Cricetulus griseus: one gene and its partner. The protein of the gene in region 1 purifies or fractionates together with the protein of each later gene. This does not show direct contact. Links are inferred from orthologs where the notes say so. Each region holds a gene or a part of one and is shown in the gene's direction. Other genes may lie near its edges.

Region 1 (3,512 bases):
TTAGAATTCAGTTGCCTAGTCTTAGAACGGAGACTTTGAAGTTTCTCCTCAGCCATGTTGGCACTCTTAGGTATGCTGGGCCACAAACCTTAGGGTTAGTGGTCTTTTTGAGGGAGATGGCAAGAACCTCATCTTAGTCATTCTGATTCTCAGATACCAACTGGAACTAAAGGATGAATACATCGCTCGAACAAATAAACTACTGGAAGAAGAAAGGAAGACTAAAGGTGATATGGGTGGCTGCCTTGTTTTAATTTTGAAATAGGTTGCCTCCTAAGTTACATCTATTGTATATTTTAAATATAGCTTTCACTTTTTTTGTTTGTTTTTTTCGAGACAAGGTTTCCCTGTGGCTTTGGGGGCTGTCCTGGAACTAGCTCTTATAGACCAGGCTGGTCTCGAACTCACAGAGATCCATCTGCCTCTGCCTCCTGAGTGCTGGGATTAAAGGCGTGAGCCACCACCACCTGGCTCACTTTTTACAAAACATTTATTTACTGTTATTTGTCAGAGGGAGGGGTTTGTGTGCTATGTGAAGGTCAGAGGACTTATGAGACTTGGTCTTTTTCCTTCTACCATGTGGGTCCCTAGCATTGAAATTAATTTTCAGACTTAGGAGCAAGTATTTTTACCCACTGGTCCATTTCACTGGCTTTTAATTTATTTTTTAATATTTATTTATTTTTGTTTCATGTGTGTGGGTGTTTTGCCCGCACATATGCCTGTATGCCATGTGCATACAATGCCTGTGGAGGCCAATAGAGAGAGACAGATCCCCTGGAGCTGGAGTTACAGATTGTTAACTGCCATGTGGGTGCTGGGAATTGAGCCCAGATCTTCTGAAAGAACAGCCAGTGCTCTTAACCACTGAGCCATCTCTCCAGCCCCATTATAGGAAATTTTACTTTCTCTGTCCTCTATGACCAGGTTTCATAGTTCTCAAGTTTATATTGACCTCAGACACTGGAAGTTGAGTAAGTTTTCAATTTTCAGATATTTTACATTTTAATATATTTGTAGGAAATAGTGAAAAGAATATGAACTTTGGAAATTTCAAACACTTTTTGAAGTAAACCAGAGCTGCTTACTTGCTATTGACTAGATACCAACTATGTGGCTCCTTTTGCTCATGTCTTATAGAAGCAGATGCATCTCTTGTAGTTTAGCACTATTGTGTAGTTAAATTTATTGAATTTCCTTCTGATATTATCTGCATGGACTTTTGTGTTAAACAATGGACAAACTACAGAAGAAAAACAGACGTCTTTGCTTTTTAAGGAAAGTAGGCTCTGTTAGTAGGTCCATGTCCTTCCCAGATGGAATAGCTGGTTTGCATGTACTAGGAATTTCACCACATATATGACATGTGATTTGTCACATGTTGCGTAATGGGCCTTATTTCTTATTTGCTCACTCAGCTTTTGACTTATACACTTGTTGCTTTACTCTATGAAACAATGGTGATTAGGTCTCATAGAATGGCCACAAATTATTAAATGTCTCTTACGTTCAGTAGGAAATCACTATTTAACTGGTTCTTTTTTATTCCCTAGAAAAAACTATTCATTTGCAAGAGGAGCTCACAATTATTAATTCCAAAAAGGAGGAACTCAGTAAATCTGTAAATCGTATGAAAGAAGTTGAGGTAATTGTTAAACCCATTTTTTAAATTTCCTTAATGATGTTAGAGTTAATACTATTTATTATTTACAGAGAACATTGGGGTGTTTTGAGATTTATTTATTTTTATTTTATGTTTATGGGAATTTTGCCTGTGTATACAGTGCCTTTGGAGGGCAAGAGAGGGCATAAGATCCCCTGGAACTGGAGTTACAGAGAGTTCTTAGCTGTCATGTAGGTGCTGGGAATCAAACCCAGGTCCTTTGGAAGAACAGTCAGTGCTCGTAGCACTGGACTCTCTCTCCATCCCCTTAGGCCTTTCGAAGTGCTTGGGCTGATTACTTTATGATTAAGAAGGTGATACCTGAAGTTAGAATTCAGTAGGTTCTAATTTCAAGCAGAGGCACACAGAGACATAGAAAAAGAGCTTGAATCTAAGAGTCCTGCTGCTCAAATCATGTCTCCCTCCCTTACTGCTTATGTGCCTTTTGGCAAATTCTGTGAGTATAATCTTGGAGATATTTCTAACAATGCATGATTGTTGGGTGAGTTGGGTGAACTACCCATAACAGATGGCCAGTATATCTTAGCTTCTATCCTAGCCTGTTCTATTCCATTGGTAGCAATTAAAATTTTCTATCACTACATCATTCTCTTACAGATTTTTTTTAGACAAAGTAAGGTAAAGTTTTTACATGCCACTGGTACTATACTGCTTGTCATGTAATGGACAAAACTAGAACTTTAAGGTAATTAAAGGAGATTGTAGCTGGGTGTAGTGCTGTACACATTTTATCTTAGCACCCAGGATACAAGCAGATCTCTGAGTTCCAGGCCAAACAGAGCTAAGTGAGACCCTTTCTAAAACAAACTGAAGTATATACTATAGGTGGAATTTACTAGTTCAGCCAGGAGATCTGTGTAGACTTTCAGATTCAGATATGGGACATATAAGACTAAGAAAAGGAAAGCACCTCACAGCAATAGAGATTGTTTCCACCTTTTATCTGTTCATGTTTTTTAAATGTCTTGTTAAGTTGTGCAGTTGTATTGGTGACATTTGGGAATTGCATTCACCATACACTTTTTTTTTCACCATACACTCTTTACTTACTTCATAGGACAAAGGTCTATTGATATAGGTTCTGAGCTTGCCTTGGCTTATCACCAGTGCAGAGAGCCTGACCTCTGTCTGGTAGTCACTGTCATTTATTCATTTATGATGCTTAGATTCAGACAGCCTTCCTGCCTTTACCTTTGCAGTGCTGTGAAAGTTATTCAGATATAAGTTTTCCTTTTTCAATTTTAGCTGGAGCTAGAGTCTGTCAAAGCCCAGTTTTTGGCAATGTCAAAACAAAACCACTTGCTGAATGAAAAAATGAAAGAGATGAGTGATTACTCACTACTGAAAGAAGAGAAAGTGGAGCTTCAGGCACAAAATAAATTACTTAAACAGCAACTGGAAGAGAATAGGAATGAGAACTTACGTCTCCTAGACCGTATGTCTTTTTTTTTTTCTGATCTGCATGTTTCTGTAACTTACAGTAGGTCAGGATTATAGAACATCTTCCTATCTGTAAGGGGGGCTTACGTTGGGAGAATCTTAAGATCCTTATATTGCAGCTGCTTTCTTTTTGCTTGCTTTTGCATAATTCATAGTTTCATTCTAAGTAATATTTGTTAAATAACTGCCTCTATGGGTGGCTTCAGGGTTCATGCCCTCTGACTGTTGCCTCAGTTGAGCCAGGAAGCACTTGGAGCAAGGCAGGGAGAGGAAGTTGAAGTTGTAGTTATTTCTATTCTTAGTCTTGCTCACCAGGTACACCAGTCTGGACATACTGTGTCTCTCAGGCAAGAGAACCTGCAGTCCCTGCTGGGGGGCCTCCCACTAG
Region 2 (4,009 bases), on another chromosome or scaffold:
CTAGAGTTTTGATTTTAAGTGTCTTCCTCCATTGCTTTCTACCTTTTATAATGTGGCAAAGTTTCTCACTTGAACTCAGAGCTTGTTGATTTGACTAGTCTAGTTAGACACGTTGCCCCAGGGAGCCTCTATCTCTGCCTCCCAAGTGCTAAGATGAGGGTAAACCTAAACCAGCATTTACCAGGCCAGCCTGGTCTCCAGAGCGAGTGCCGGTATAGGCTCCAAGGCTACACAGAGAAACCCTGTCTCGAAAAACCAAATAAATAAATAAATAAATAAATAAATAGGAACAAACCCAACCCGAGGAAGAACACACATGTATCTTCCTGAGGCAAATTTAATAACAAAAATGAATTGTACCAGTATGGTGGCACTCACTGGTAAAATCCCAGCACTCTCAGACAGAGGCAGGAAAACCGTTAGTTCAGAGCTATCCTGGGCTACAGAGTGAATGCCCAGATAGCCTGGACTACACAATATTTTTTTTAAGTCTATACTTCTTATCACATTTCACTTGCTTGAAAATATGCTCACTAGCATCAACTAATAGACTTCTACTATTGGGCTGTCCAGAATTTTAAGGGTCCAGTTTTAGAATCTAGGTCAAGATTGCTTCTTATTTAACAGTGTCTTTTGGCCTCCCTGGAGAGGCAGCTGTAGTCATACTGCCTCACGAGGTTTAAAAGTACTATTTCTTGTTCTTTTTTTCCTTTTTGTAATGCTACATCTTATTCCTTTATCAGTTATTTCCACAAATAGCCCGGGGACTCCACAGGTACTCAGTATTAACGCTGGCGTAGAGGGCGGGCTTTGAAGAGATATGAGTCTGGGTTTGGGTATCACCTCCACCTTCTGCAGGTGATCCTGACGAAAGCCTGCTCACCACTGACAACTCAAGTTTCCTCCTCTGTAAAATGGGCATCATTGACCTGAGGCGTGTAAAGGCTTCCTAGTGAGTGCCCTCCGCAAGGTGATTCTTGAGGTGCTTGCTATTCCTCAGACTAGCATCAGCCGACGTTCACAGCATCCGGGAACTTGACAGAGAAACCAACTCTTGGTCCTCGATTCATTAAGACCCAAGGGTGGGTCAGAGACGTCTTTGAGGTGAGTCGGCCCTGGTTCCGCCCCTTTCCCTATCAGGGCCCGCCTCACACGCTCGTTGATTGGTAGAGCCTCTGGTGACGGCTCACCAATCACCCGACCGCAGACTCAGAACCCGCAGAGGGTGCGCTTGGAGAGGTCCGAGCTCCTATTGGTTGGAGACCACACCGCAACGTCGCGCGTACGCACGCAGCACGCACAGCAGAGGCGTAAGGCCCGGGGCCGTTAAAAAATGGCGACCGTCACTGAGCTGAAAGCTGGTGAGTGCGCTGAGGAGGCGTTCGCTAGTGGGAAGCGCCCTGCCTTGCGTCTGTGACAGGGGTGGGACGGAAGGAGAGCGCGCGGACACCGACTCGGCTTTTCCCGGGGCCGTTCTGAGGTGGCCGCGCCCGAGAGCGAGCGCCCGCTGCGCATGCGCGGCGGGAGGGCCAGCCTGGAGATGGCCGGAAGGGACTGGAATCGTTAGTCCCCGAGAGGGCTGCAGGCCTGTCCTCCTGACGTCTGGGCGTCTTCAGAACCCTGGTTAGCCGACAGTGCCAAGGCTAGGTCTTGTGTTCAGGACTGAGCATGGCAACACCGCAGCCACACACGATTGGTGGCACAGTTCTCAACGATTGGTGGACAGGTCCTCCTTGTCCTGTGGGACAAACCTAAGGCAGAGTTGCCCATCCTGACGGTTCTATGGGATCTTTCGGGAAGAGTGAGTGTTTCCAAAGCAGTAACGTGCAGGGCCCTGGGTTCCATCCCGGGCACTGCAGAACAAAACAGAACAAAAGAGTAGCCATCAATAACACGTGCAGCTGTTAACTCTGAATAGTAACTGTAGTTAATGTTTGAGTCATAATTGTAGTTCGTTAAGATTCAGTGTGTGATTCTCTGTGTCAGACACAACTCATCCAACAACTACTTGATTCCTCGCAACAAACCCTCTTGTCCATTTCACACACCTGGAAGTTGAGGTGCCGAGAGGTGGGATATTTCACCCAAGATAATTTAGGTGGAAATAGACTGGTGTTGAAATCCTATAAGGTACATACAGTACTGCACCAGGTCTTAATCGCCATGCCATTCTGCTTCACAATGAATAAAGCCGTTTCTGAGTTTCAGAGACTAAATGAGTGGTAGTGAAAATTTTGGAGAGGACCAAGGAGAGTAGCTTGGAGACTATAATTTAGTAACCATTGACTAAATGTGTATTGGGAGCACTGTGCTGGTGAGCAATTAAAAAAAACAACAGGTATGTCTCAGTCCCCAGGAGGGACTTCCCTTGAATCAGTAGAGCACTTTTGGGGAGTGGGAGGGATACATTAACACTCATGATATTGTATAAACTTCGCATAGGATTTCAAGATATTTCGGTGGGAAATAAGTCAGAATAAGACCACTTCCTGAAGAAGTCTTTATGGTAACAGTGTTGTAAGCATAAAACCTCAAAGAGTAAAATGATTTAAAAAAAAAAAAAAACCAGAAAGTGAGAACCTGAAGGTTAGGAATGATCTCTATAGATTTAGGGGCCTCTTTACATGTTTTTCTATGTTCGTGGGCTCTTGATATGCTTTGTGTCCAAGAGAAATGTAATGAAAACTTGTTTTCTAATCAATAATCTTAACATTTTATGGGCCTTTTACTCACTTAAAATACTCTTCCATCTCACCTAGGTCTTTCTGAGAGGCAGGGTTCATTACCAAAGAAAAGGCCGCTGAGGCATCGTTAGGAATATGCCCACCAAGACATGAAGGACATGCCACCTTTCCCAATTGCAGCTTCATTACTTTTCATTTTCTGCTAAGGTTGAGGCTGTACTGTGTGTACTTCAGAGTAATTGGGACAGGATGCTTGCCAGTAGAAAAGAATCTCTCCATTTAATTTCCAAAGATGGAACTAGAGAACAAGGGTTGTGTTATGATCCTAAGAGTATGATAAAGCTTTCCTTTTATGGGTCTGTTACCAAGTGTAATTGGTTGACAACTGCAGTTAGTATACCTGCAGAAAGGTTGAAGGAATGAATGGATGCTTTAAAAACAAAGAAGAGAGATAAGTCTAGGAGTATATATCTTTAATCTTATGACCAAGGATGTTGTTATTTACCAAAGCTTAGGAACTTTGCTGTCTGTACCTAAGTGGATAAACTGTGTTATGAATTTTATTGTGGCATCTTAATAACGCTTTTGCCATTGGCAGAGCAAAATGCAGAGTTAAAACATACTTTTTTGCTGAGCAGTGGTGGCGATTAGCTTTAATCCCAGCACTCTGAAGGCAGATGAAGGTGGATCTCTGAGTTCCAGCCCATCCTGGTCTACAAAGTGAGTTCCAGGACAGCCAGCCAGGTCTGTTACACAGAGAAACCCTGTCGTGAAAAAAAAAAAAACAAAATAAACATTTCTTTTAACCAGTAGTATAAGGCACTGTTGGTGTTATACGTTTGTAACATTTAGTGAGCTCTTGCTGTATTCTAGAATTGCCATTTAGCCACAGAAGACTATTTGAAGAGGGAAGGTTCCAGATTACTATTAGGGGATGGTGACCTTTAAAAAATTGATTCTTTTAGATTTCATATCATGCATCCCAATCCAATTCATCTCCCCATCCCTTTATATCCACCCTCTGCCCTTGCAACCTCACCCCCCAATATAAAATGAAATTTAAAAGAAAATAAAAGCTAACATACCCCAAAAAGTTTCAGCATCCATGTTTACTTGTATGTGTTTATTGTAATGAGCTTTCTCTTTATACCAAGAGCTACATTTGTGTCGTTTTCTTCCCAAGCATTATTCCTTAGCGCATACCTGAAATTGCAACATTTAGTGTATAACAGAACCATTTATATTTCATATTTAACAGTTTTAAAGGACACCTTGGAAAAAAAGGGAGTGTTAGGACATTTAAAAGCAAGGATCCGTGCTGAAAT

The links. The genes of interacting proteins can lie anywhere in the genome.
Region 2: the proteins of Ofd1 (region 1) and Cep20 purify together in Homo sapiens (co-immunoprecipitation; 3 studies listed by BioGRID and IntAct, with this or other methods). This does not show direct contact. The link is inferred for Cricetulus griseus from reciprocal best matches to the Homo sapiens genes OFD1 and CEP20.

What each region holds. Positions count from the first base shown.
Region 1 is NC_048604.1:101,192,460-101,195,971, reverse strand, and holds part of Ofd1 (oral-facial-digital syndrome 1 protein), read left to right. Parts: intron 1-153; coding exon 154-227; intron 228-1,553; coding exon 1,554-1,645; intron 1,646-2,929; coding exon 2,930-3,119; intron 3,120-3,512. UniProt on the Homo sapiens protein: Component of the centrioles controlling mother and daughter centrioles length. Recruits to the centriole IFT88 and centriole distal appendage-specific proteins including CEP164. Involved in the biogenesis of the cilium, a centriole-associated function.
Region 2 is NW_023276807.1:75,497,018-75,501,026, reverse strand, and holds the start of Cep20 (centrosomal protein 20), read left to right. Parts: upstream 1-1,204; 5' UTR 1,205-1,333; coding exon 1,334-1,361; intron 1,362-1,495; exon of another isoform or gene 1,496-1,801; intron 1,802-3,942; coding exon 3,943-4,009. UniProt on the Homo sapiens protein: Involved in the biogenesis of cilia. Required for the recruitment of PLK1 to centrosomes and S phase progression.